7 linked regions of the Cricetulus griseus genome follow. The protein of the gene in region 1 binds, or shares a complex with, the protein of each later gene. Links are inferred from orthologs where the notes say so. Each region holds a gene or a part of one and is shown in the gene's direction. Other genes may lie near its edges.

Region 1 (4,179 bases):
TGCTGGAAAGATAGGCATCTGCCACTACACTTCTCCAGGGCCTGAAAAGGTACATACAAGTCACATACAGACCAAATTGGTTATATTTAGGAATATATATGTATATACATACAAAAAAAAAGAGGCCATGGATTTGAAGGGGGGCAAAGAGAGGTGATGATGTAATGTATTAGAATATCAAAAATAAAAGAAACAATTAAAAAAGGCTTGCTGGGTTAGCCTAGTGCCTCCATGTAAACATGTGCACACACATGTTATATTACATGTTATGTACAAGGTCAAGGATCTGGGAAATGGAGGAAGGAAAAGCAGCCATTAGAAAAAATGAAAGACAGCAGGGCTTTGGTGGCGCATGCCTTTAATCCCAGCACTCAGGAGGCAGAGGCAGGCGGATCTCTGTGAGTTCGAGGACAGCCTGGTCTCCAAAGCGAGTGCCAGGATAGGCTCCAAAGCTACACATAGAAACCCTGTCTCGAAAAAAAAGGAAAGAAAGAAAGAGAAGAAAAATGAAAGAGAAGGAGTTGGAGACATGGTTCAGTTGGCAGAGTTCATGTCTAATAAGAGTGAAGCCCTGGGCTCCCTCTCCTGAGCGTCACAAACTGGGTGTTGGCATAGACTTTGTAATCCTAGCACTCTGGAAGTGGAGGTGGGGAGACCACAAGCTCTAAGACACTCACCCTCAGATACATAGTGAGTTTGAGCCTACCCCTTGCTACACAAGACCCTGCCCCAGATAAAAGAAAATAAACCAGTTGTTATGGTACCTGAGGCAGAGACAGGTGGTTCTCCGTGAGTTTGAGGCCAGCCTGGCCTACAAAATAAATGAATAAGCCCAAAGACAAAGGCGGAAAGTCGGGGATAGATGGAGAGACGGAGAGACATACTTCTCTGGTCCCTCTCCCTATCCTCCCATTTCTCTGCATTTAGACTGGCTCGGGAGTCTGGGGGTGGACTGTTCTGCGACCTCTCCTTCAATTGCATTTTTTAAAAATTAAAAAATAAAGAACACTAAGGAAACGGGGTGGGGGGGCACGAAATCAGGGGATCCCATCCCATCCGTCACCCTGTGGAGTTCGAATCTGCTTCTCTTCCCTACTGTCTGTGTCTTGAGCCCGCCTCTAGGGTTCTTGCAGTGGAACCCTACTCCCTCCCAACCTCGGCATAAAGAAGCCGCTGCCCCTTTAAAGCGGCGGCCCCCAGCCGGGTTATTGTCTCTCTTTGTAACCAATCGGCCGCGCCGTTGGGGGCGGGGAATGCAGCCTCCTGATTGGTCGCCGCTGCGCCCCGCCCCGCCCGGGATCCCGGGAGCTGTCCGGCCACCTCGGTGCTGATCCCGCCGCCGCCCACGGGCCGCGAGCCAGCCGCGTAGAGAGGGCACTATGAGCGGGGGCGTCTACGGCGGAGGTGAGCCGGCCTGGGGCACCGGGCTCTCGGCCTGGTCTGCAGCCCTGCATCCCGAACCCGCGCGTCCCGAGCCCTGAGCATCCCTGGGCCTGTCACCTCCGTGCTGCATCAGGTCCAGCCTGAGGTTTGGGTCTCCCACGACTTCTGCTTTCCACCCCTCCTGGGGTTCCCAAGCGTGCACTGCCTCCCAGCCCCTGGAACGTCCTTCCCCTGCCAGGCCACTAGGCAAGAGGGAACTATGGTGGCTTTGACCCTCCACTTCCAGGGCGCCCTGAAGTCCAGGTGGATCTCCCACCTGCTCCATGCTGAAGTTCAAACTGTGGCTGTACCCCCAGACTCCTCTCCAAGCTATTTAGGGGGACAGTTTGGGAGAGGTCTCCTCACACACCTGTCTCCTTGTACAGATGAGGTGGGGGCGCTCGTCTTTGACATTGGCTCCTTCTCAGTTCGAGCTGGGTACGCTGGGGAGGACTGCCCCAAGGTGAGCCTTCCAGTCCCTCCCCAATTCCCTGGGGCTGGGATACCCTCTGCCAGGTGGGTCGGCCTATGAACAGGCTTGCACAGTTCAATGCAAGTAGCTCACCTGAGTGCAGACAGGGGAGGAAGCCCAGGGGTGGCCGAGGGTCTTGAGTGCAGTTGGACAAGGGATCCAGCTGGGCATGGTGGCACATTCCTTTAATCCCAGCCCTCTGGAGGCAGAGACATTCGGTTTTCTGTAAGTTCGAGACCAGCCTGGTCTACAAAGAGTGCTGGGCCAGCTGGGGACTTCATAGTGAGATCCTATCTCCAAAACAGGAGGGAGTAACCCGACTCCCCATTCCTGTTCCTCATTACCAGGCTGACTTCCCCACCACTGTGGGGCTGCTGGCCGCAGAAGAGGGGGGTGGGCTGGAGCTGGAGGGGGAGAAAGAGAAGAAAGGGAAGATTTTCCACATCGACACCAATGCCCTGCACGTGCCTCGGGATGGAGCGGAAGTCATGTCGCCCCTCAAGAACGGCATGAGTAAGGGGCCCCCATACACCACTTTCTGAAACAGACTCGGAGCTCCCCCCTCCCACGTGTGGACACAGATCTCCACATCCACAGAGTCTGATTTGATGCTGCCCAAGCCCCAAGAACCTCCTCACTGCTCCCTACAGGGATCTCAGACCAGAACCCCCTAGAATTCTGGAACTTAAGGGAGGGGGTACTTGTCAGCTGATGTTGGATTCAGCTCCTCCAGACTCGGCCTCCCTCCCTCCCTTACTTCCTGTCTCTGACCCTTGCCTTCCTTCCCACCGTCCTATCTGCCTCTCAACGCTGGCCCTATGTCCCAGTTGAGGACTGGGAGTGCTTCAGAGCCATCCTGGATCATACCTACAGCAAACATGTCAAGTCCGAGCCAAATCTGCACCCAGTACTCATGTCGGAGGCTCCGGTGAGTGCCTCATCCAGACCCGCATCGGCCCGGGGTCCCTGGTGACACATCCTTTCCACCATCACCTCTAACTTGGAGATACCACTCTCAGTCACTCCGCCTTCTTTTCCAGAATCTTCCTTCTCACCCTGTCGTCTTCAACCACGTACATGTCTTACTCCCTGGCTTACTCTCCATCTCTGCCTTCTCTCTTCTAGCTCCATCCACTCCATTGCCTATTGTTGTTCACATATACTTAACTTTTTGGTCAGTGTTATATAAACAAACCCTACTAATGTAGCTCACTTGGTAGAGTGCTTGCCTGGAATGTACGAGGCTTCGGGTTCAGCCCCCACTACTGAAGGAAGAAAGGTTAAGCCTGTAATCCCAGCACTCGAGGTAGAGGCAGGAGGACCAGCAATTCAAGGTCATCTTCAACTACATAATGAGTTTCAGGACAGCCAGGACTACAAAGAGAGACTCAGTTTCAAAAACAAAAACAAAATACCTATCTCCTCATATATCTTTTTTGTTGTTGAGAATTTCATACATGCCTATAATGTTTTTTATTAAATATACCACGTCTCTCTCATCAGTTCTCCCCTAATTTCTCCTACCTTCTGTCTCCCAAATTCATGTCCTTTAAAAAACAAACAAGCAAGCAAAACAGACTAGGTCCACTTAGTGACAGACTGGGTTCACTTAGTGCTGCCCACTTAGTACCATCTCTGTGTACACAGGTGTGAGACTATCTATGGGAGCATGAGTCTCTCTCAGAAGCCTTAGCCCTAGCTGGGTGGTGGTATCACACGCCTTTAATCCCAGCACTTAGGAGGCAGAGGCAGGGGAAGCTCTGTGAGTTCAAGGCCAACCTGGTCTACAGAGCAAGTGTCAGGACAGCTAGAGCTGGTACACAGAGAAACCTGTGTCAATTTAAAAAAAAAAAAATCTGAGTTTATACTCTTTTATATCTTACAGGCTAGTAAGAGCTGATTCGGGCATGGTTATTTTTTCATTCTCATGCAACTTTTGTCTTCCCCAGATCTAAGAATTGTTTCTATTTTACTTAATTTTTCTATTTATCAATGTAATCCTAAGTTACCCATCAGATATCTATGTATTTTCTCAAGACACTAATTCCATGATATATTCTATTAATTTAGTGTTACTGAAAAAATCCCTCTCGGAGGCCACTGACACATTCCACTTTGGCTTAAATTTGGGAAATAGCTGTTATACTAACATCTTTCTTCAGCATTACCTAGCAGAATCTCCTTGTTTTTCTTCTAAGAAAAGTGGGTGCATCTATGACTTGACTCCTTTTCCTGATTCACACCTTTGTTTTCATGGAGCAGATCCTTCAGCAACCACTTAGCTC
Region 2 (3,500 bases), on another chromosome or scaffold:
ATTTCTTGTGAGTTCGAGGCCAACCTGGTCTACAAGAGCTAGTTCAGGACAGCCTCCAAAGACACAGAGAAACCCTGTTTCAAAAAAACAAACAAAACAAAACAAAACATTTGAGAAGGAGATGAGTTCAGAGTGGGATTTTTGTGGCAGGTTTTTATTTACAATGTAACTCACACTTCTTCCTGGTCTCTATTTTGTAGATCAAATGTTTCCTAGATTTCAAAGCAGGAGGATCCCTGTGCCACATTCTGGCAGCTGCCTACAAATTCAAGAGTGACCAGGGATGGTGAGATGCCTTCTCTCTGCTGTTCATGTTTAGTTTAAAGAAAATTCCCAGTGTTTCCTGGGGTCCTTCTGAAGCCAGAGGACGCATTAGAAATCCTATGTGTCTTTTATTTTGATAGATCAGAAAAATAGATGGCATAGCCAGAACAGTCCCCAAGAACCAGTGTGTCTGGGAAGAGGGTTTTTAGGTTGGCATCTCAAACTTTGTCCTTTTGATTTAACACATAGAGTGAATCATGCAGTTGTGACTTGGGCAAAATTTGTGACAATATTACCTCCTAATTGTTAAGAAGTTCTGTACCAAGCTGGGAGTTGGTGGCACAAGCCTTTAATCCCTGTACTCAGAAGGCAGAGACAGGTGGATCTCTGTGAGTTTGAGGCCAGCCTGGTCTACAGAGTATGTTCCAGGAATAGCTGGGACTGTTACACAGAGAAACTCTATCCTGAAAAACCAAAAAAACAAAAACAAAAAAACAAGTTATGTACCCTTGGGGCTAAAGACATGGCTCAATGGTTAAAGCACTGGCTGCTCTTGCAGAAGATGTGGTCCTGCTCCCACATGGCTGCTCACAACCCTCTGTAACCCAGTTACAGGAGATCCAATGACCTCTTACGGCCTCCTCAGGCATTGCATTTACATGGTGCTTACAAACATGGCGAAACATCCATATACATAAAATAAAAACATAAATGAGTCCTGTGCCCTCACACAAACTATAACTTACTAGATTATCATCCCTTTACAAGGCGGCGTTACGATTTCCAGAATCCGTCTCGCATGGACCGCAATGTAGAAATGTTCATGACCATTGAGAAGTCCTTGGTACAGGTAACGTTCAAGCCCTTCCTCCCATCCATTTTCCTTTTCGCAGAAAGAATATAAAGCAGTCTCTCCTCATCTCATCCACTTCTCCTCCTCACAGAATAATTGCCTGTCTCGACCTAACATTTTCCTGTGCCCAGAGATTGAGCCTAAGCTGCTGGGAAAATTAAAAGACATTGTTAAGAGGCATCAGGTAAGTGTGAAGGGAGGCAGGTAAGTCAGGCTCCTGAACTCCTGACTGGTTCACGCATTGTCACCCCTGTTACAGTGCGTTTCTCCACAACTGATGTGTCTTCCATCAGGAAGCAACTTGTGCCACGTTCTCCCCTGTGCTGTGGCCCTCTCTACTCACACTTTGAACAGCACTTGTCCTGCTTGTCAGCTCTGTTCCCCAGGCTTGATAGACTTATCACTGCCCCTTGGCACTATATTGGCCTGGATGAAGGAGAATGTCTTCCACTGAACTAGACAGACCTAATTTCAGATAAACATAACCCTGCAATCAGGTGCCATGATGTGCCCTGGCACTTAGGAAGTGGAGGCAGGAGGATCAAAACAGTTCAAGTCATCCTTGGCTACATAGTGTATTCAGGCCTGCCTCAGCTATAAAAGTGATGCTATTAAAACAACCACAACAAAATCTCTCTTCTTTGGAACTGCTTTTTATTTGTTTGTTTGGTTTGGTTTTTCGAGACAGGGTTTGTGTGACTTTGTAGACCACACTGACCTTGAACTCACAGAGATCCACCTGCCTTTGCCTTCTGAGTGCTGGGGTTAAAGACATGAGCCACCACCACCCTACTGGAACTACTTTTTAATGAGAAGTGGGATATTATGGATGGGCACAGAGTCCACTTTAAATTTCTGGTGGGTAGGGCTGGGACGATGACTTCAGTTTCTTATGTAAGTATGAAGAACTGAGTCTGGATCCTCAGAACACATGTAAAACCTGGGTGTTGTAGTTTCTACCTATGACTCGAGAGCTAGGAAGTAGAAACAGGTAGATCCCGGGGACTTGTTAACCAGCTAATCTGAAATGTCAAGCTCCTGGTTCACTGTCTTAAAAAAATAAGGTGGAAAATAGAAGCTAGAGGTCACTTGTAGTTGACCTCTAGCTTACACACACACACACACACACACACACACACACACACACACACAGGCAGTACGCCACACACACACACACACACACACACTCACTCACACACACACACACACACAGACACACACACACACTCACACACACACAGACACACACACACACACAGACACACACACACACACACACACACACACACACACACACACACACACACACACACACACACACACAGACACACACACACACACAACACACACACAGACACACACACACACACACACACACACACACACAACACACAACACACACACACACACACACACACACACACACACACACACGCCACACACACACACACACACACACACACACAGGCAGTACGCCACACACACACACACAGACACACACACACACAGGCAGTACGCCACACACACCTCTCCACTATGCAGCGCATCCACACAGAGGGTTGTCTGTGGTAATATTTAATTCGTTGGCTTTTCCCCAATGCTAACACATCGTTACCACTGTGTTTTTTTGCCACGTAATGCCATTGCAAGAAAGATGTAGTTAGACGGGCAGGTCTGTGCTTAGATTTTAATTCTTATATTTATACCTGAGAGTAACTCAAAAGGAAGTAGGTTTACCTGCTTTTCCCTGTGCTATCCAGGGAACCATCACTGAGGATAAAAGCAATGCCTCCCATGTTGTGTATCCTGTCCCAGGGAACCTAGAAGAAGGTGAGACCGGGTCTTCCTCTCTGCTATGATGGCTTGGGCTGGTGGATGGAGGACAACTTAGTTCACCATACACACCTGAGGCTCTGGGCATTGCAATCCTGAATCCTCATCCCATGGATTCCCGTTATTGAGTCTCCTGCTAGAAGAGCAGAGTGCTTAGGTAGAGTCTTTGTCTAGTCCTTGTGTTTCCCTCAGCTTATTGCTCCCTCTTCTCTGTCTCTATCCTCAGAGGAATGGGTGCGACCCGTCATGAAGAGGGACAAACAAGTTCTTCTGCACTGGGGCTACTACCCTGACAGGTGAGGATGGGTTCTCAGGGCCGTCAGGAGAAGCAGCAACCAGACACAGAAGCTGTCTGGCAGAGCAAGAAGGCACTGTTCTGGGTGTTTATTTCATTATTTGTTTTTTGGGGGGGTGGGGGTGGGATACAGAATTTTGCTATGTAATCCAGGCTGGCACGGAACTTGCTATGTAGATCAGGCTGGCCTCAAACTTGTAGCAATCCTTTTACCTCAGCTTCCTCGGTGCTTGTATGTAAACTGGCTTTTGTGTG
Region 3 (4,088 bases), on another chromosome or scaffold:
GAAATCTTGAGTCTTAGCCCGGTGGGTGGAACACCCCCTGCTGGACAACGGGGTATTTGTATTAACACTTGATATGCTAATTTATGCAGCCACTCAAATCAGAGTGCTAAGTTATTCCCCAGAGGGTGTGTGTGTGTGTGTGTGTGTGTGTGTGTGTGTGAGAGAGAGAGAGAGAGAGAGAGAGAGAGAGAGAGAGAGAGAGAGAGAGAGAGAGGGAGAGAGAGAGACTCGGTAGGTCAGCTCTTCGCTGGGGTTCTGTTAGGAGGATAGGGTGTGTGGATGCCGAGGGAGAAGAGTGGAAGGGACCAGGTGAATGAATCTTTCGTCTTTCAGTGCTACCTTCAGACAGCAGTCAGGGGCAGAGAACAGGTAAGGTTTCTCCTCCAGATCTCAAAGTCCTCGTCTGGAAAATAAGGACAGTAATAGTTTAGTCTGGGGAGAGCTGTGTTAAGCAAATGTTAAGTAACCACTCAACGTATATTTGTTGGACACCTACTAGGGCGGGCAGGCATTATTCTTTCTAGAGCGGCGTAACCACTTTATGCCTTGGTACGTGTCAGATCCTCTTTGTAGATGTCTTCTCTGTGGAATAAATGGATTTATTAGTACTTGCCAGGTACTATTTCTTCATGTGGGACTGCGATTGAACCCATGGGCTCTCGATCACTTTCTTTTACCAGAACCACCCCCAAGCCCTGCTATGTATCTTTGAAAACACTTTACAGCGACTGGTGTGGTTTCACACACCTCAGGGAGGCAGAGGCAGGAGAACTATAGTTTGAGGCCAGCTTGAGCTGGACAGTAGGATTCTGTCACGAAAGCAGCCACTTACCCTGTCACTCATCTACTCTTCAGTCCGATGAGGTGTTATAACTATTTTCTAAAGGAGGAGACAGGCCCAGAAAGGTTAAGTCATGTGCCCGAGGTCCTATCAGCGAGGATCTGAGCCCGGGAAGGATGACGACAGTCCTGTAGTCCTGCGGAGGAGTGGACCCGGGTGACCGACCGCGACAGTCAGCCCTGGGACACGATGGGTGCTCCAGAGTTTGGAGGGCATGGTGGGAGAGGTGGCGTCAACTCCGGCATGCTGGTGACACGGCTGGGTGGGCACTGGCGAGGTCTGGGCGCCTGTGGCGGGGCGTGAGTGAAGGTGGGGTGTGTGAGAGCCTGCGAGCCGAGCGTGGCTGTGTGTAAGCGGCCACGTGCGCGTGTGTGCGTGCATGCGTCTGTGCACGTGGGACCGGGGACTGCGTGATCCTCCATCCCCCGGTGCCCCGGGTTAGAGGACCCGCGGGGGGACTACCACTCCCGGCATGGCCCGGGCGCCCCGCCCCGCCGTCCTGATTGGCTGAGATCCGCGTGCTCCCGCCCCCCGGGAATGAATGGATGGGCGGCCTCAGCGCCCGCCCGACCGCTGGGAGGACCGACCCGGCAGGGACCTGCTGGGGGCAGGACCCGGGGAGCAAGATGGCCACGGTCATCCCCGGCCCCCTGAGGTGGTGCGGGCGGGCGAGCGGGCGAGCGGGGCGAGTGGGAGGCGGGGGCGGGTCTGCGCGGCCGCGCGCGCGCGCGTGTGCGTGTCTCTGTGTGTGTGTGTGTGTGTGTGTGTGTGTGTGTGTGTGTGTGTGTGTGTGTGGCCGCTGGGGGTGGGGCCGGTGGGGTGTCAGGGGGCTGTCACCGTGTGCGAGCGAGCGAGCGGGGGTGCGAGCGTGTGTGACTGCGGGTGTCTGGCAAGGGTGATGTCCGGGGCGGGTGCAGGGCGTGGGGGAGGGGTCCCCCAGGGCTTCCAGGGGACGGGGGTCATGTCCCCTCCCGGGGATGCCACGGTCTGCAAGAGGGGGAAGCGGCGTAGGGAACCTGAGTACACGCGAGTCGAGCCCACGCTACCTTTGTCTTGGGGCGTGGAGTGTGTTGTGCGACTTGTGCGTTGCTTTTTTGTTTTGTTTTCTGGCCGGATGTGTGGGTATGTGCGTATGGTTGTCTCTTTTATTCTGCACGGTGCCCATCTGGGCATTCGGGTCCCCTCCGAGTGTGTGCGCGCGCGTCTGCTGAGGCTGCACCCTCGAGGCTGCGTCTTTGCACGGGGAGGTGTGAGGCTGGGTGCGAGCACGGGCGGACCTGGCTGTCCCTCCGTCTCCGAGGCGTGTACCTGTGCTTGGGAATGCGCTTCGAGTTTGGGGTCGCGTTTCCCCCCGGGTGTGAGCGTGCGCGCGTGTGACTGCGTGGTCTCTTTGTATCGTGTGTTTGACACCCCGTGTCTTTGGAGAGAGGTGTGTGGGCAAGCCGCTTTGGACACCGTGCGACTGTTGCGACGTTTGCGCGTAGTACGTTGCCACGCCGGGGGGCTTTGTGGACAATGTGTTTATCTTGGGGGTCTCTGGATGCGTGGCGTGCAGAGGTAGTTTTATGGCCTGTTTCTGACCCCAGTCTGTGTGTCTGTGTGTCTGTGTGTGTGTGAATGTGTTTGCTTCTCCTTTGTGAATTTTGGGATATGTTTCCCTTTGTGTGTGAATCCCGTGTGGCCATGTGCGATTTGTTTGTTTTGGGTGTTTGGCTACGTTCGTGTGTGCATGGGTCCCGCTGCTGCTGCTGCTGCTGCTGCTGCGTTTCGCTCTGTGAACACACTTCTTACTTAACCTGAGACATAATCAAGTTCCAGGTAGCGGCCTCCCAGCCAGCCAGCCAGCCAGCCAGCACCCCGCCCCGCCCCCGGGTCCCCAGGGATGGGAGGAGGAGGAGGGGGAGGGGGCCCTGGCTGGTTCGCCCTTTGCGGACCGGCGGCGGCGGGAACGGGAGGCCCGGGGCGTGGGGGGGGGGGTGGTGGTGGAGGGTGCTGGACCTCCCTGGCTGACAGCCGCTCGCCCGCTGCTCGCCCGCCCCCCTCAGCCTCGGCGAGGACTTCTACCGGGAGGCCATCGAGCACTGCCGCAGCTACAACGCGCGCCTGTGCGCCGAGCGCAGCCTGCGCCTGCCCTTTCTCGACTCGCAGACCGGCGTGGCCCAGAACAACTGCTACATCTGGATGGAGAAGACCCACCGCGGGCCTGGTACCCGCCGCGAGGCTGGGGCGGGGCGGGGCCTGCGTCCCGGGGCCGCACGCTCACTGCCGCCCTCCCTCCCTCTCCCTCCATCCCTCCCTCTCCTCCAGGTCTGGCCCCAGGACAGATCTACACTTACCCCGCCCGCTGTTGGAGGAAGAAACGGAGACTCAACATCCTGGAGGACCCCAGGCTGCGGCCCTGCGAGTACAAGATCGGTGGGTGGAGCTGTGGCCCCTGCGCCCGCTGTGGCCCCCATCGAAGTCCTCAGCCCCACTGCTGTCAGCCAGAATGTAGCCTTTATTTCCCCTGGGTGTCTCCACAACAGGCTATCTGTGTCGTCGTCGTCCCCCCCCTCCCCGTGTCTTGAGTTACTTCCTTTGAGTTTCTGAGCTTCCAGATGTACCTGCTGTGTGGGCCGTGGCGAGCAGGTGTACGGAGGACATCCTTTTATCTGTGTCTAGATAGATAACTGTGTGCGCTCCCCTGTGAGCCGGGGTACGCCCATGTCCCGCTGTGTTTCTTTCTGTGGGTGCTGGAGGGCATCTGGCTATCTCCCTGTGTGTTTGGATGACTTAGTAGTGTTTCTCAACCTGTGTTTTGGGGTTGCGTATCCGGTATCCTGTATACCAGGCATTTACATTACGATTCATAAGGGTAGCAAAATTAAAGTTATGAAGTAGCCACGAAATAATTTTGTGGTTGGGGGGTCATTACAACATGAGGAACTGTATTAAAGGGTCACAGCGTTGGGAAAGTTGAGAACCACTGAGTTGAGTGTCTCATTGTAACTGTTGCTGAGTGTTTTAGAATGCCTGTTTCTTTCTAGGTGTTTCCAAGTGTGTGTGTGTGTGTGTGTGTGTGTGTGTGTGTGTGTGTGTGCTGGGACTGTGTATATCTACCTCTTCTGGGGGTATATATGGTTCCACCAGAATGTCCTGCTGGGGTCCTGATGCTGAGAAATTGCTATGGAGATTTTCGGCTTGTTTCTGTGTTAGGTGCTTCTTGAGGTGTGTGCTAGTTCATAGACTGACTGGAGTTAGTGCTTTC
Region 4 (3,500 bases), on another chromosome or scaffold:
TAAAGTTAAAAGATCCTTAGTAGAATCTGACCTATTGACTTAAAAAAAAGAATAGGAAAGCCTGCTTTAAGCCTTGCTGTGTAGCAAGCAGTAGAGGAATGTGATTAGAACCCTGTGTAATGCTGGTAGGATTGTGAAATGGCTGAGCCACTGTGAAAAACAGTACGGTAGTTCTTAAAAAAAAAAGAAAGGAAAGAAGGAGGGAAGAAAAGCAGAATTTCTATATGGGCCACCAAATCCACTCTTGGGCCTGAACTCAAAGTAATTGAAAGTAGAGACTTGATACTTTATGCCCCTATGTCTACAGGGTATTGTGATGTATTTTCTAAAAAGAGTGTAGTTATCATATTCACAGTGACTAGAGCATGAAAGCAATCCAAGTATCTACTGACTGATGAACTGATAAGCACAGTATGGAATATAACACAGTCTAAAACGGAAGGACATCCTGACACACATCACAGCACAGATGAACCTAGAGTGCCATAACATGCTAAGTGCAACATGCTGGCCTCAAGAGAGCTAAATTGTATGAAATACTTGGTTCACTGATTGACTCTGTTTAAAACCAGGATGGTTTTCTATTTGTATCTTCTTTGAATTGTTCTGAGTTCAAGTATTATTATTATTATTATTATTATTGTTGTTGTTGTTGTTATTATATAATTATTATTATTAATCTTGACCTGATTAAGCATCTCTCTCTCTCTCTCTCTCTCTCTCTCTCTCTCTCTCTCTCTCTCTCTCTCTGTGTGTGTGTGTATGATGTATGTATGTGTGTGTATAAATGCTACATATATGTGCTTGCATGTGGAGGTCAGAAAACGACGTTAAATCTCCTGGAGCTGGAGTTACAGGAGGTTGTGAGCTGCCTGACTGGATGCTGGTAACCAAACTCAGGTCCCCTGGAAGATCAGCTGAGCCTTCTCTCCAGTCTCACTGTTTTAATTTTTATTAATTAAATTTATTGTGTGGAAATTTTATACACATAATACATTTGGATGACCACATCTACCTCCCTTATAGCTCACCCACCGGCATTGACCTCCCCCTTTCCATACAACTCCTTGTCTCACAATCATGTCTTTTTGTTTTGTTTTGTGCCCTACTGTGTTTAAGCAGGACTGTGCGACCATGGGTGTGGGACTATGCACTAATGGGCTCCCTGTGGGGGCTCTGCCTTCTGTAACTCTCCCTCAGCAATTCCTAAGTGGGAGGGGGAGGCAGACATTTTAAATACTTCTCTTGCTTGATTTTGATCAGAGAAAGTTCTTTTCCTTTAACTGTGGGTTTAGAAGATCCTTGCTTCTTACAATGAATGGCTGAACTGCCTGTATAGTCTTGGTCTATCCTAAATGCTTCTCTGTCATAATAGGAATCTGGGTGTGTTTTGGCAACTTCTGAGAACCAAGTGTGGAGGTGCACAAAGCGGGGGCTCTGGCAGCTGGATGTTTTGTAAGTCCTATGCAGAACACTGCCATGGAACCACCTCCAGGGGCCTGCCACTTCTCAGCCTCCCAGGACAGGGCTGGTCACCTTTACTGATGGTTTGCTCTTTGGGCTTTATTTTAAAGGAGTTTCTAAGTGACTTGGTAGATATGGGACAGGACATGGAATCTGGTAGAGAGTTGATGACAAATGGGGCTCCTGGTGCTCATTGGCTTGGTTGCCATAACTGTGGCTTCTTCCTGGGGACAGGGTAGGGGACTGCTTCCCTCTGGTGGTGTTTCTACTTTCCCTGGTCTCACTCCTTTGCTGTCTTGTCTCCTGTAGGCTTGGGGATCAGTTCTACAAGGAAGCCATTGAGCATTGCCGGAGCTACAACTCCCGGTTGTGTGCAGAGCGGAGTGTGCGTCTCCCCTTCCTGGACTCGCAGACTGGGGTGGCCCAGAACAATTGCTATATCTGGATGGAGAAGAGGCACCGAGGCCCAGGTGAGCCAGGCCACTGCTGGGACCAGCATGAGTTTGGATGAAAAAGTCCTGTTGTGTCCGGGAGTCCACACAACTGGGTAGGGTGGGGGTCACAGATGGATGAGGTGTTTATCTGGAAGAGTCCAGTGAAAGCAGTTTTCATTTTTCACCCTTGGGTGTTGGCTAGAATCTGCAAATGTGCTTACCTGTGGGAATACAGCTTAGTTTTGTCATCAGAACTCTGTCCCCGAGGCTTGTCATCTCTGAAGTGTGGATAATCTCAGTATTTACTACACAGAGTTTATTGGGATTAAATGACAATATCTACAAACAACTCAATATGTATATGCTCTAAAATGCTGGATATTATTGCTGTCATGACCATGACTGTAATCTTGGATTCTTGGAATAGAATAAAAACTCACTGGTATAGATTAGGGAGACAGCTAGCTCTAGAAATGCAGTTTTCTGTGGTCATACTTATTTAAAAATGTAATTTTGTGTGCATGTGTATATACACACATATGTGTGTATACCCATCCATGTGTGTGTGTATATGGGATGTGTGTATGTGTGTGGGGGATGTGTGTATGTGTGTGTGGGTTACATGTGTGCATGCAAGTATCTTCCTTAATTAGTTGCTCGTCATCTTGCATTTTGAGTCAGGTTCTCTCACTTTTACCCAGAGCTTGCTATTCAGCTCAGCTGGCCAGTCAGTGAGTCCCAGGGGTCTGCCTATTTTTTTCCTTTCCAGCACCAGGATTAAAAATGTGTGCATTTACATGGATTCTGAGGATTGAACTCAGATTCTGTGCTTTCATAGTAAATACCTTACTGACCAAGCCATCTCTGTAGCCTCTGGTTTATTGTTTTTTTTCCTTATGTTTGATAGGGTCTCACATAGCCTAGGCTGACCTCAAACTTGCTATGGAGCCAAACCAAACTTGCTATGATCTTGACCTCTTCCTGGTCCTCTTGCCTCTATCTCTTAGGTACCGAGATTAAAGGCATATGCCACCACACCTGGCTCTGTATGAGTATTTTAAACAAACTTCTGTTTGGAAAAGTTTCATATTCGTGTAAAACTTGGATAATGGCAGAGAAAACTGAAATCCTCATGGTCAAGTTCCACAACAGTCGCTTATGGCCAATCATTACACTCATACTTAGCTGTTAACTTTCTCCCTGACTCTGGATGACGTTGAAGTAGACCTGGGACAACACATCATTTCATGTATAAATACTATGGACTTAAAATGTCAAATCATTTGGGTGCAGTGGGACATGCCTGCAATCACAGTATTTAGGAAGCTGAGACAAGAGGGTTGCAAGTTGGAGGCCAGCCTGGGATACATGACAAGATTTTACCTGGAAAGATAAAGGAAATAACCAATCCATCTCACAACTGCTATCAAATCATGTAGTCGGCACCCATTTCTCCTTCTGCCTCTAGTGTAAACCAGGCTCCAAATAGGATTCTACGTTGCAACTGGTTGATGTGCCTCTTAGAAATCTGCAGGCTTTTCTCTGACACACTCTCTCCCTTGTATGTTATTTGTTGAAAAAACTGGGTTGTTTGCACCGTAG
Region 5 (3,966 bases), about 100 Mb from region 1:
AACTGCCCATGAACTTGTAGCATCATCAGCGCTGATTATTGGCATGGGCCCCCACAATAAGCTCAGAATCCACATTTCCCCACATGACCCTGCATACTCACGGGATTGCTATCATCCTGATGTACACACCCCACCATGGCACTTCCTCAGTGGAAGTTTGCTTCCCAGTGAGTCCTTTAGGTAAAATCAACCTTACAGCTCTCACCGCGCACCTTGAAGTTTTCCACTGAGTAGTCTTCCTCACACTTAGTGCCTTTGTTTCAGTTGGGTCTCGAGTTACCCGTCTTTTCTAGTCACATTTTAAATGTATTTGTTTTGTTTCTCTAGCCTCGAACTCAAGAGACCCGCCTGCCTCTGGGATTAAAGGCGTGTGCCACTGTCGCCCAGCGGCTACTTGCACTCATTTTTAACAGGAGGGAGAGAAGTCATTAGACTTGCTCACTACTTAGAGCTCCAGGATCATACAGCATGGCGTTCACCTCTCCAGTACAGCCAGTCACATTTGCTTAATATTTCAAACTCTTTCGGCCTTCACGTGGACCACTCATTCATAAAATATTTACCGAACCTGTGTAGTCAAAACGCCGTTTCCCAACGCCGAGGATCTATCTACCTGGGAATAAAAACACCAGGTTGTGGCGAGAACTACCAAGAAACCGTCGGGTGGGTGTGATCAGCTTTTCAGTCAGGGACCGGTTTTCTGGGATATTTTCATGAATTTGAGAATGCCTCGAGTGCGAGTGTCAAAATGGAAGGAAATCTCGAGGCCGCAGAAACCAGCTGGTGTGGTTCGGGAGACACTAAAGAGAGTGAAGCCGTGCGAGGCCGACGTCGGACTGTGGGCAGGCGGGGGCGGCTCACTGGCGCTCAGGGCGGGCCCTAGGCTCGCACTGCACACCCGAGACGGCTCTCTTAGTAGTCGCTTGCCGACCGCCGATCGACCAGACAGACGCAGGAAGCCGGAGAGGAGTCTCCGGGACTCAGTCCTGAGAGGCGGGCGGAAGAGGCGGGGAGCGCCTCCAGCTGCAGGGGCGGCCAGCGTGCTGCGCATGCGTACGCCTGCTCTTCGCCCCCAGTCCGTTACCGCTCCGGTGCCTGGGAGGGGCGGGGCCGGGCCCGGACGCCGGAAGGGGGTTGGCTGGGCGGGGCTAGGAGGAGGCGGTGTGTCTGCGCGCGCGCGCGGGTGAGAACGGGAAACGCCGCGAGGGCCAGGCCGGGCGGTGGAGACGACGGACGGTGACCATGGCCGCGACAGCGGGCGGCGGTCCGGGAGCGGCAGCAGGCGCCGCGGGTGCAGGGGGTGCGGCGGCGGCCTCGGGCCTGGCCGTGTACCGGAGGAAGGACGGGGGCCCGGCCAGCAAGTTTTGGGAGAGCCCGGACACGGTGTCCCAGCTGGATTCGGTGCGAGTCTGGCTGGGCAAGCACTACAAGAAGGTGGGTTCGCGCGCGCGCGCCCGTGGGTACCGAGGAGCCACGCGACAGGAGCTGGCGGTGGCTGCGGGCCTCGCGAGCCTCGGGCCACCCCTCCCCCTCCCCCTCGCGCCACGAGGGACAACAAAGGCAGGCTCGCCTCTCGCCACGCCCCCGCGGGCGGCTCTGGGCACGCGGCGGGCCCGGCGCTCGCTGCGGGCTCTCCCGGGCCCACGCACTCGCGTGGGAAGCCCCAGCTCGCCCGCCGTTCCGTGCTTCTAGAAGCAGGTGGAGCCGGGCAGAGCCGCCGCAGGGCGTGTGTCCCCTGTCTTTTGTTAGCTTGCTTAGGTGTGTGAACAAAGAGACTGAGCCCAGCATAGTCAAAGTAGCTGCAAGTTTTGTTTAGAGATGAGTTTCTAAGTGGTTCCGTAACTAAGGGCTTGCTACCCGGTGTGGGTTCCCTAAGGGACCTGGCTTGGTTGTCTTGCGAGTTAATGTAGGTTTAAACTCAGCAATAGGAATGATACCGGACTATTAAAAGTATTTTTTTTTTTACTTTATTGTACTTTTTGTGATGCATGAAGATAGGAGTACAAGAGTTAACGTCTTTCGTCGAGAACTGTTTATGTCATGTATTCTTTGTAATTTTTTTTTAAATTCCCGTGTTTCTCCTACATTCTTTTATTTTTTTGTTTCTCCTACTTTCGAATGCTCATTTGGCTGAGTCAGTTGTTTACAAAGTTGTGAATTAACCAATTGGTATTTTTTAAAAAATTACATTTATTTATTTTTGAGGGGTGCATCCCACTCCTGTGTGGATGTCAACTTAAGCAAATTGGTTTTCGTCTAACACCACCTGGGTCCAGGAATCGAACTTAGGTCGTCGTCGTCAGGCTTGGTGATGAGTGCCTTTTTCCCCCCTTTTTAAAAAAGATTTATTTATTATGTACACATGTATGCATATGACAGAAGAGAGCACTAGGTCTCGTTAAGGATGGTTGTGAGCCGCCATGTGGTTGCTGGGAATTGAACTCAAGACCTCTGGAAGAGCAGTCAGTTCTCTAAACCTCTGAGCCATCTCTCCAGCCCCAAGTGCCTTTCTTTACCTGTGTATATTCACCTCACCGGTAGAGTAAAATTCCCCACTATGTAAATGTTAAAGAATGACTCTAAAACAATTCCTCCATTCCTCTCAAATTCAGTAGTGTTTACCCCATTGAGGACCAGGATTGATACGAGATTTGTTCTGGATTAGAGTTAACTGAACAGTTGTTGAATAAGTGTATGTTGAATGAATGAAAAGTTAAACTAGGACCTCGGGATTTAAATCGTTTTGTAGAATGTTTTGTAGAGTGTTCACTTAGTATGGGTTAGGTATAAGGTTTGAAACCCAGCACCTCATATGAACCACCACCTGTCATGGTGGTTGACATCTGCTACCTTTTGAGAGGTACAAGCATGAAGATCAGAAGTTCAAGGTCATCTGTCACATAGGGAGTTCGAAGATCAAGGCAAGCCTGGTGAACTGTTGGTATTTGACAGTGATGTTGGGTGTTTTCAGAAGTAACCCTGTCTCTAAGGCTTTAAAGTCAGAGAGTGTTGACTTATTTTAGCATTTCTCTCCCCTCTTCCCCTTCTTCAGGGTCTCACTATGTAGCTCTGGCTGTCCTAGAACTTAGGAGACCAGGCTGGCCTCAAATTTTCACAGATCTTCCTGCTTGTCTCCTGAGTGCTAGAATAGGCGTGAGCCATCACACTGGATTCATTAAGCATTTCTATTGTATTTAACAGTGTATTTAGAACATATAAATCAATGGTTTATTTCATTGTGTGTGTGACCTTCATGTGGGTGTCCACAGAAGCCAGAAGAGGGCATCTAATTCCTTGGAACTGGAGGTAAATGAAGTTGTAAGTGACATGGTGCAGGTGCTGGGAACTCCGCTCTGGTCTTTTGGAAGAGCAGCAAGCACTCTTACCTACTGAGCCATCTCTAGCACCAGACAGAACGTTCAGTCTCAGCAGTTAATATGAAACAAATGAGACTTTGAAGGTCTCTTTTCTTTTGAGGCCAGCTTGGCCTATATAAAACTTTAGAAAAACAAATGACCCAAAACCACTGTAGCTCAGAAGCCCCAGACCTTCCTTTGTAGCCTTTGATGGTCTTCAACGCCTTCCTGCTTCCATTTTTATAGTTGTGGGATTATGAGGATGAGTCACAATAGTGGGCTCAAATACAATTTTTCAGTTTATTTTTAGTTTGTGTGTGACTGTTTTGCCTGCATACATGTCTGTGTACCAAAGTGTGCCATATAAACCAGAAGGATCATTTGGGATCATCTGGAAGTGGAGTTGCCATTGGTTCTGAGCTCCCATGTGTGTGCTGGGAGTCAAACCTAGACACTCTGGAAGAGCAGCCATGCTCTTAAGTACTGAGTCCTCTCCCTCTCCAGCCCTAATACAGGTTTTGCATTTAATTCATTAATTATGCTTTCCTAGTGTCATGAAACTGTCTCCACCATCGGTTTGTCTTTTTCTTCCTTTTTTTTTTGTTTGTTT
Region 6 (4,173 bases), on another chromosome or scaffold:
GGAGAACATTCCCTCTGTTGCTTGTCCTGGCCAATGAAGACATTCTGCAGGGCCAAAGGTTAGGCCCCCTCCGTGCAATGCTGGGTCCTGAGGGCTCAAATTTTAATGTGTTCCCACAAATTCCCTCAGGCCTTGTCCCTCCCTCATCCTAGTTCTGACAGCTGCCGTCCCAGGAAGCCCATAAGTGTGACCCTTAGTTGTCCCAAAGCCTGCGGGCTCCTCCTCCAGAAGGTGGGAACAGGCGTGGCTTCTGGCATGGGCGGGGCCTGAGCTCAGCCTAGGGATCTCCTTTCTGTTCTCCCTCCACTCGGGGGTCGGCCAGTTCTCTCCCTACGGTCCTTTCCGGGGCTCCCTCATCCTCTCCCACTCCACACTCCTGCTTTCTCTTCGGTCCTGGAGCGGACCTCAGCCCCCCAGCCCCCCTGGGTCTCCATGCCAGAGCCACCAAACCTTGTTTGCTCACTCTTTCCTCCTTACCCACCCAAGTACGCATCCCGGCTCGGCACGATTCCCCACACTCACTCTTCCTGTGCTCAGGAGCCCAGTCCATGTCCCCTTTTCGGAAAGACTTTCCCCGGTTGCCCTCACTTTCCCACACAGAGGCAAACAAAGACTCACGAGCCCAGAAATAGCCTCCCTCCGAGCTGGAAGGCACAGGCCGTGTCCTGCCCCGCGCGCACGCACGCTCGCACGCTCGCACGCGCAGGCACGGCGGCTCCCGTGGAGGGAGCACACCGGTGCCCGCACATAAACATCCACACCCTCGGCCGCTGCGCCGAGCCACAAAAGGGTGCAGACACGCGGAGCGCGAGGCACGGGCACACCCACGGCGGCCGGCCCTGGACGGCTGCAAGGCCCGCTCCCGGCTCGCCCGCCCCCCCGCCCCCGGATTCCTTCCAGCAAATGTTTCCCTACTTGGCCTGCCCGGTCCCTGGGGAAAGGGCCTCAGAAATGCTGCAGGAGCCACTTGGGGGAAGAAAGTTGGAACTGCCCGTTCTCTGCCTGGCCCTGCCGGCGAATTCCCCAACCGAGAAACTGTTTGTGGAGAAAGAAGGCAGGGTGGCGGGCAAGCCCCCCCCCGTCCCCTCCCTAGACTGTCCCTCCCCGTGCCGCCACCGGCGAGCCTCCGGCGGCCTGGGCGCTCGCTGCCCGCCTCGCAGCCGCTGGGCGGACCGGCCTGGCTCGCCGCGTCTCTGCGCCGTTTGGACCACGCGGGTGCACGGGAGGGCTGCTGTGTCCCCGCGCGTCGCAGGCAGACCCCGGGCCGCCGGACTATTTCTGTCTTATCAGTGCAGGAATGCGGCAGCCGCGGCGGCGGCGGCGGGCGGCGGCGGCGGGCGGGCGGCGGCGGCTTGGGCCGTGGGCCGTCAGGGCAGCCCTGAAGGGGCCCCCTCCCCACTCCGCTCGAGTAGAAGTGTGAGAGAGCCCAGCAGGACTCAGAGGGGAGAGTTGGAGGAAAAAAAGGCAGAAAAGGGAAAGAAAGAGGAAGAGAGAGAGAGTGAGAGGAGCCGCTGAGCCCACCCCGATGGCCGCGGACGAAGTTGCCGGAGGGGCGCGCAAAGCCACGAAAAGCAAACTTTTTGAGTTTCTGGTCCATGGGGTGGTGAGTGGGGGAAAGTTAGCGGGGGAGGGCGAGCGAGCTGGCTCGGGCTGAATGGAGGGATGATCGGGAAGGGCCGCCGGCGCGCTCCCGCTCTCCCACCCCTTTGGTTGGGGGGCGCACGGTCACGGCCCAACCCTGGGACCTTGCCGGCGCCCTGGCATCCGAACACGTCGCCAAGCGGTCGGCTGGGGATGGGCGCGCGGCGGCAGGGAAGAGAGGCGTCGGCTTGGGCTCTTGTCAGGGGCAAGGGGTGGGATGTGGGCACCGTGCCCCCCAAGAGGTGGGTCCCCTCTGTAGCTGACACGTCGCCCGTTCTTTTTTACTGGTGGGCCCAGGTGTTACCCCTGCCCTGGGGTGGGGGTGGGGTGGCGACTGGAACACACAACTAGGGTTGGGCTGCCTGTTGTCCTGTTCATCCACAGGGGCAGTGTCACTCTGACTGGGTCTGAGGAACTAGGAGCAGGTGACCCTGGAGGCACCTGAGAGCAAAAGCTCCCTGGCTGAGCAACCTCTGCAGCCTAGCAGGAGGGTCCTGAGGACTTGGCCCTGCTGTCAGAGCTAAGAGAGGCCTACTTAAGAGATGGACCCCAAGTTAAAGGGGTCAGGGGATCCCTTGGCAGGCTCAGCCACCAGAAGTTGATGACCTTAATACCTCAAAGGTGTGAAGGGATGGAGTTGGGGACATGAGGCCTAGAGATCAAAGGGTTAACACTATAGTGTCCTGCCACAGACATGTGAAGGCACACGAGGGACCTGAGGGTTCCAGGGACCTGAGGAGGGAGATGACTGGGTTGAGTCAGTGGAGAGCCTGGCTGTAAGGCGCTCCAGGCTTGGGGATATGTGATAGAGGGAAAAATCAGTCAAATTTACTATGGCCAAATTTGGTTGTGACTCCAAGAAGCACCTCCTCAGTGAAAGAGGCAAGGGCCCCCAAAACCTTGACCTCTTGTGATTGTGGTGCTGGTGGCAGAGCCCCTGGAAGCCCCTTCCTCTCAGTAAACCAGACAGTGTGGGTGGCCTTGATGAGTAGCAGGGCAGCTGATAGGGAGGAGGGCTTCCCTGTGGCAGCCTGCCCTCTAGCCACAGGGATCTCTGGGGTGCAGTTCCCAAGGCAGTCCTGTGGGTTAGTGGAGTTACCAGTCCTAACCTAGCTGCCTGGGGGAGTTGCTTTACAGAGTCCCATTCAGTGAAGAGGAGGCTGCCCATGTGGATTTGAATATGGCCAACTTGGAGGGTCAGTCCTTGAGTGATCAAGGCCCCCTTATTAGTAGTGGGGAATGACTAGGCCTGGCCTTCCACCCTGGTGGCACTGGTGGTATGAGTGACAGAGTCAGGTGGAATGGGGGAGGCAAACTCAGGAACTGGCCGGTTACACTACAGAAGAGATGGCCAGGGACAGCTGCTGGTAGAGGGTGGTAGAGGGTGGAGACCTTTGGTCTGAGCAGTCGGGGTTTCTTGGTTCTGGGGTGAGATGAGGAGTATTTTGTATTTGTTTATTGTGTATTGAGGCAGGGTCTCCTGTAGCCTAGGCCTCGAACTCACTATATAAGGGAAGATGGTCTTGCTCTTTCTGTCCCCACCTTGAGATTGGGATTACAAGTGCAGTTTCTTTGGTGCTGGGAATCGAACCCTGGGCTTCACATGTATTGGGCAAGCACTACACCAAGCTACATCCCTAGCCTGAGATGAGGGTGTGTAAATAGTAGGGTCTGCACCCCCACATCACCTCCTTGTTCCTGGTTAGCCCCTAAACCTCAACTCCCTTTCCAGGCCTGGACAAGTGGACTCTGGAACACCCCGCTTGCGTTTACACCTCTTCTGTTTTGATTGACTGCCCAGAGGTGGTGGCTGGGGAAATACAACCTGCCTCATTTCCCTCCAATTTGTACCCTTACTAGGATGGGGTGGGTACTGGGTTCTCTCTCTGATGTAGGCAGATGGGAGGGAGATGTGGCTTCCTTCAACCATCCCTGCCCTCTGGCAGCCCACTTCTAGTCCAGTTCCCCACTTGCCACTCGGAAAAGCTCAGACCCTCGGGTGCCTTTGCCCAGCCTCTTGTATCACCTTGGGAGAAATGAAATTAAGGAGGCAGACTAAGTCAGAGACCTGGAGTCAGCTGAAGGGGTTATTTGAACACCAAGGGTCCAAACCAGGGGTGCTGAAAGGGAGATGGGGGCTCACATACAAAGCCCCAGAAGTGGGCTGTAGAAAGCAGGAAAGCAGCGGGGAGCAAGGCCCGTCAAGGTGCTGCCTTTGTCGGGATGAACGGGGTGACCTTGGCGAGGTCGCTTTTTCTCTTTGAGCCCCAGTTGCCCCATCTGTCAATTGGGGATAAAAAAGACCGGCTCTGGCTGGCTTGCAGAAGACCGTGCCTGCCGATGTGAACATCCTTTGAAAGGTTGAAAGGCGCCATTAATATTCATTTTTGCGGTACCTTGCACGGCTCCGAGGCTCGGCTATGCCCTGGGCAATTGCCTGGCTTCAGTTAGCTTCCTGCAAGGAGCCGGCGAGCCCCCTCCTCCAGAGCCACGCAGATTCCCGCGCCCCCGCCCCTCCCACAATCACTCCCA
Region 7 (4,212 bases), on another chromosome or scaffold:
AGGAATGGAGCTATGCTGGATGCTAAGCCAAGAGTGTTAGAGACAGAAGAGGCTGGGGATTGGTGACTCTTGCAGCTGGGGCAGTGGGTACCCACAGACAGAAGCGGAAGTCCTCATTCGGTGGCCTTTCTCTCCTCTGGGTGCCCAGTGCCCCTCCCTCACTTTGATAGCCAGGCCCACCACTTGTATTTTTTGGTGAGGCAGGGTTTGGTCATGTGAGGAAAGAGACAGGCCTAGAGGAGAAGTTGAGGGCTCTGCTGTTGTGTGTCCCTACCTTAAGGGACCACAAGTTGAAGAAGAGGGCCTCCCCACCCCTACCAGGCATTCTTCCCAGGCCAGAGCTCCAACCCTTTGCAGGACTTCTCTGACTGCACTGTCTGTCTCTTGGCCTCTAATCCCCAAAAAGGACTTGTGGACAGACCACCTGTGTGCGTTGGCCTGGAGCCAGAGAGTGGGGCTATAGCATCTCTGAGAACTCTTGGTTCTCTAGAGTTCTGTAGACAGCAGACTCCCCAGAAGGAAACAGGCACAAAGCTGAGAAGTATCCACTGGCTGGGGGACAGCAGGCGGGGCTCTGAGTGACGCATGCCTCTGGTCTAATAAACTGGGTTTCAACCATCTCCTCCTCAGTGTTGTTCTTTTTGGTTGAAGAGTTTATAAGGATTACCATTAGAATGCAGCCTGCCTTGAGGGCCATGTTGACTAGAGTAAGGAATTTGGGTAGTCCAGTGTGGTGGCTACACCTGTAATTCCAGCACTTAGGAGATGGAAGCAGGTATCTTTCATTACAGAGCGAGTGTACTACTAGGCTGGGCTACATGAGACCCTACATATTTGATCAGGTAAACACTGGTCCTCCTGGAAAAGGACAGGTTCAGGAATAGTTTGAATCACTGGGCAGTGAAAGAGCAATGAACAGCAACAGATTTCCAGGACCTTCGGAGAGGATTCATGGCCAAAATTCATTAATATCTGAAGGCAATGGTCTGAGATGAAGGGTGAAGTTCCCGCGTCGGAGAGTTATTGAGCCATTATCTGTGAAATGAAGCCGGGGCTACCAGCCAGGAGACCAGAATCTAGGATGGCTTTTCTTTTAATTTGCTGGTTTGTCTTTGCCAAGACATTTCCCTCCTTTGAGTTCAGCTTTTCCGTTTGTAAAACGAATAAACAGCACGTTTCTCTCTTTCGTACCCGGAGTTCGAGCAGTAGGAGAATGGAAAGCAAAGCAAACAGAATGCTTTGGAAAGGCAAAAGCACTGTGTTGAGATGACAGTGTCTCCAGCCTGCGGTGTGCGCTCGTCTCTTTCCAACGCCTTGTCGTCCTCCGCCCGCCTGGGGGCGCCCGCTCCCGTCACCTCTCTATCCGCACATCACTTCTCTATGGTGCCCCTCCTGTGCCGCGAAGGCGGGAGGGAGTGGTCAGCACGCCTTTTCCGCTAGTTGCCCCCTCTAGGCCTTAGTCTCGCTGCCCCGAGCCGCCCGTGCCCGCCGGCGGGCCGGGCCCACAAACAGCCCAGGCGCTCGGGGGGCGCGCGGGGGGCGGGGGGAGTTCCGGTTCCGGTTCTTTGTGCAGCTGCTGCGGCGGCTCCGGGAAGATGGCGGCCCGGGCGGGTTTCCAGTCTGTGGCTCCGAGCGGCGGCGCCGGAGCCTCGGGAGGGGCGGGCGTGGCGGCTGCTCTGGGCCCGGGCGGAACTCCCGGGCCTCCGGTGCGAATGGGCCCGGCGCCGGGTCAAGGGCTGTACCGCTCCCCGATGCCCGGGGCGGCCTATCCGGTGAGTGGGGCAGGAGGAGGGGCGCGTGGGCCGGGGGCGGGGCCGAGCGAGGGCGGAGAACTGACAGGGGTGAGGGAGAAGTGGGAGGGCCTCCCTTGGGAGGGGCTCGGGTCCTGGATGGAGGTGGGGGAAGCAATGCCGAGGAAGAGCGCGATTGGGGGAGGAGGTTAGCATCCTCACCTGCTCCCAGCGGCATTGTCTGCTTTTGAGGAGTGAGTGTGGAGCCAGGGTGGGTGAAGTGGGCCCGGAGGTGGGCAGCTCAGTGTCCAGAGGAACACTCAAGTTAGAGCTGCACGTTGAGGAGATAGTTAGCTGAGTAATAAAGTAAATGTAGAGATGTCTGGTGAGTCAGATCCCACATATTCCAGAAAATTTGAGTCTGATCTGGTTTTTAGACCCTATATTCTATGAAACCACTACCAGGCCTGAAGAAGGTCCAGTTACCGTATTTCAAAGAGGCAGAAAGAAGGCTGTGTGATTGTCCTCCACCCTACCTCCCCCACCCCCATCCTTGTTCATTCCAAAAATTCAGGCTTCCATCACTTTTCGTTTCTTGGTGGAGCTGTCAAGGAAAGGTATGACATCTCTGGGCCCTCTCCATTCTGTAGAGACCAGGCATGCTGCCAGGCAGCCGGATGACACCTCAGGGACCTTCCATGGGACCTCCTGGCTATGGGGGGAACCCTTCAGTCCGACCTGGCCTGGCCCAGTCAGGGATGGACCAGTCCCGCAAGAGACCTGCGCCTCAACAGATCCAGCAGGTCCAGCAGCAGGCGGTCCAAAATCGAAATCACAAGTAAGATGACGCCTGGGGTGAAGGAAAGAAGCTACTGGGAGACCTGTGAGGATTCAAGTGGTGGGAGTACTGAACCAGGAAGTGGTGGTGCTATGTCACCAAATGGTGCTGCAGAGACTCACCCTTGTGAAGGCTTCCTGGTGGAGGTGGAGAGGGAGTTGATGGTGATGAGAAAGCCGTTTTGCAGGCCTTAGCTGTGCCATCAACAAAGGTGCTGACAGCTTAGCTCATGTTCTGACAGTTCCATCCCACCCTGATAACAGTATTTATTCCGAACAGTGCAAAGAAAAAGAAGATGGCTGACAAAATCCTACCTCAAAGGGTGAGTGCAGGCTCTAGAGGTCTTCTTCTTGAAGATGTAGTGACTGAGAAAGTACAGGTGGTCAGCTCTAGGGCCCAATCGTATCTTTCTGTTCCTAAGATTCGGGAATTGGTACCAGAATCACAGGCCTATATGGATCTCCTGGCTTTTGAAAGGAAACTGGACCAGACTATTATGAGGAAACGGCTAGATATCCAGGAGGCTTTGAAACGTCCCATCAAGGTAACACAGGAAAGCACTGGGCAGTGGGTCAAGGGAGGGGACAGGAACCTTCTCCAGGCTTAGGATGAAAATTCAAAGGCACAGCATAGCCCTCCTTGGCATTTAAATTGCATCTTTCCCTTCCGCCTACAAACCAGGAATTACATTAGGAACATAAGAGTAGAGCAGCTGGCAGGGAAAGGGGCGGGGGAGCTTTTGATGTCTCTTGCACCAGAAATATACCCTGCCCATGTTTTTGCTATAACTACTTGCTACCTTGGGAACCTGCCACTTTGTATGGTTTTCTTCACCTGGTATCCCAGCATATTTATTTATGCTCAGGCTCAGGGCCTGTATTCTTCTAAGTGGAGTATTTATTCACCTATCATAAGCCAGCCTAGAAAACCTTTGTCTTTAACATCAAACTACTGAGGCTCCATCATCAATCCTGTTTCTGCCTTCCTCAGCAAAAACGGAAGCTGCGAATTTTCATTTCTAACACTTTCAATCCGGCTAAGTCAGATGCAGAGGATGGGGAAGGGACGGTGGCTTCCTGGGAGCTCCGGGTAGAAGGACGGCTCCTGGAGGATGTGAGTTGAAGGTCCACTGTGTTGGTGTTGTATTCAGGGTGGGAGCTCTTGGTGATGATCAATGTTGTATGGTCAGCAGGAAGCCTGACTGGTGCTTATAGGTCCTGCTGGGAGCTTCCGGAAGCAGAGGGGGGGTGGGGAGAGGGAGAAAGACCCTGTGTTCCCTGCACACAAAGACAATGGTCCTTTGTATCTGCTCCCACAGCTTCACTGGTATCAAATGGAAACCATTATTGTCCTGGGATCTGACTGGATGTTTACTCTGTCCTGGTGATGCTAGCCTTTGGATTTAGCAGCATCTGCAGATTACTTCTGTAGTCCCTCATCCCCACCTCCTGAGTCTATGCTTAGCATTTGAGGCCATGTTCCCTCTCTTAAGTCCTGGAAGTTATTTCTGTCTTCCCAGCTTTCATTGGAGATACCACAGTTTAAGTATGATAGAATTCTCCAAAGGCTTGGGCTCTTTGTTGCTCTAAGGGGAGTATCAGATCAGTGAGAGCCCCCACACTTCCCACCCAGCAGCTCCTTAGG

The links.
Region 2: Actl6b (region 1) and Smarcc2 share a complex: the UniProt entries of both Homo sapiens proteins name them as parts of the BAF complex. The link is inferred for Cricetulus griseus from reciprocal best matches to the Homo sapiens genes ACTL6B and SMARCC2.
Region 3: Actl6b (region 1) and zinc finger protein neuro-d4 share a complex: the UniProt entries of both Homo sapiens proteins name them as parts of the neuron-specific chromatin remodeling complex. The link is inferred for Cricetulus griseus from reciprocal best matches to the Homo sapiens genes ACTL6B and DPF1.
Region 4: Actl6b (region 1) and Dpf3 share a complex: the UniProt entries of both Homo sapiens proteins name them as parts of the BAF complex. The link is inferred for Cricetulus griseus from reciprocal best matches to the Homo sapiens genes ACTL6B and DPF3.
Region 5: Actl6b (region 1) and Smarcc1 share a complex: the UniProt entries of both Homo sapiens proteins name them as parts of the BAF complex. The link is inferred for Cricetulus griseus from reciprocal best matches to the Homo sapiens genes ACTL6B and SMARCC1.
Region 6: Actl6b (region 1) and Smarcd3 share a complex: the UniProt entries of both Homo sapiens proteins name them as parts of the BAF complex. The link is inferred for Cricetulus griseus from reciprocal best matches to the Homo sapiens genes ACTL6B and SMARCD3.
Region 7: Actl6b (region 1) and Smarcd1 share a complex: the UniProt entries of both Homo sapiens proteins name them as parts of the BAF complex. The link is inferred for Cricetulus griseus from reciprocal best matches to the Homo sapiens genes ACTL6B and SMARCD1.

What each region holds. Positions count from the first base shown.
Region 1 is NC_048597.1:116,471,933-116,476,111, forward strand, and holds the start of Actl6b (actin-like protein 6B), read left to right. Parts: upstream 1-1,379; coding exon 1,380-1,404; intron 1,405-1,808; coding exon 1,809-1,885; intron 1,886-2,241; coding exon 2,242-2,407; intron 2,408-2,721; coding exon 2,722-2,822; intron 2,823-4,179. UniProt on the Homo sapiens protein: Involved in transcriptional activation and repression of select genes by chromatin remodeling (alteration of DNA-nucleosome topology).
Region 2 is NW_023276806.1:129,429,130-129,432,629, reverse strand, and holds part of Smarcc2 (SWI/SNF complex subunit SMARCC2), read left to right. Parts: intron 1-200; coding exon 201-286; intron 287-1,032; coding exon 1,033-1,114; intron 1,115-1,208; coding exon 1,209-1,301; intron 1,302-2,877; coding exon 2,878-2,947; intron 2,948-3,176; coding exon 3,177-3,246; intron 3,247-3,500. UniProt on the Homo sapiens protein: Involved in transcriptional activation and repression of select genes by chromatin remodeling (alteration of DNA-nucleosome topology).
Region 3 is NC_048602.1:6,521,092-6,525,179, reverse strand, and holds the start of zinc finger protein neuro-d4, read left to right. Parts: upstream 1-1,288; 5' UTR 1,289-1,386; coding exon 1,387-1,499; intron 1,500-1,798; exon of another isoform or gene 1,799-2,659; intron 2,660-2,886; coding exon 2,887-3,047; intron 3,048-3,148; coding exon 3,149-3,256; intron 3,257-4,088. UniProt on the Homo sapiens protein: May have an important role in developing neurons by participating in regulation of cell survival, possibly as a neurospecific transcription factor. Belongs to the neuron-specific chromatin remodeling complex (nBAF complex).
Region 4 is NC_048598.1:120,355,408-120,358,907, forward strand, and holds part of Dpf3 (zinc finger protein DPF3), read left to right. Parts: intron 1-1,773; coding exon 1,774-1,934; intron 1,935-3,500. UniProt on the Homo sapiens protein: Belongs to the neuron-specific chromatin remodeling complex (nBAF complex).
Region 5 is NC_048597.1:217,593,581-217,597,546, forward strand, and holds the start of Smarcc1 (SWI/SNF complex subunit SMARCC1), read left to right. Parts: upstream 1-1,166; 5' UTR 1,167-1,242; coding exon 1,243-1,434; intron 1,435-3,966. UniProt on the Homo sapiens protein: Involved in transcriptional activation and repression of select genes by chromatin remodeling (alteration of DNA-nucleosome topology).
Region 6 is NC_048601.1:97,911,730-97,915,902, forward strand, and holds the start of Smarcd3 (SWI/SNF-related matrix-associated actin-dependent regulator of chromatin subfamily D member 3), read left to right. Parts: upstream 1-1,373; 5' UTR 1,374-1,525; coding exon 1,526-1,603; intron 1,604-4,173. UniProt on the Homo sapiens protein: Involved in transcriptional activation and repression of select genes by chromatin remodeling (alteration of DNA-nucleosome topology).
Region 7 is NC_048595.1:396,140,200-396,144,411, forward strand, and holds the start of Smarcd1 (SWI/SNF-related matrix-associated actin-dependent regulator of chromatin subfamily D member 1), read left to right. Parts: upstream 1-1,412; 5' UTR 1,413-1,595; coding exon 1,596-1,772; intron 1,773-1,964; exon of another isoform or gene 1,965-1,984; intron 1,985-2,380; coding exon 2,381-2,568; intron 2,569-2,847; coding exon 2,848-2,890; intron 2,891-2,989; coding exon 2,990-3,112; intron 3,113-3,558; coding exon 3,559-3,681; intron 3,682-4,212. UniProt on the Homo sapiens protein: Involved in transcriptional activation and repression of select genes by chromatin remodeling (alteration of DNA-nucleosome topology).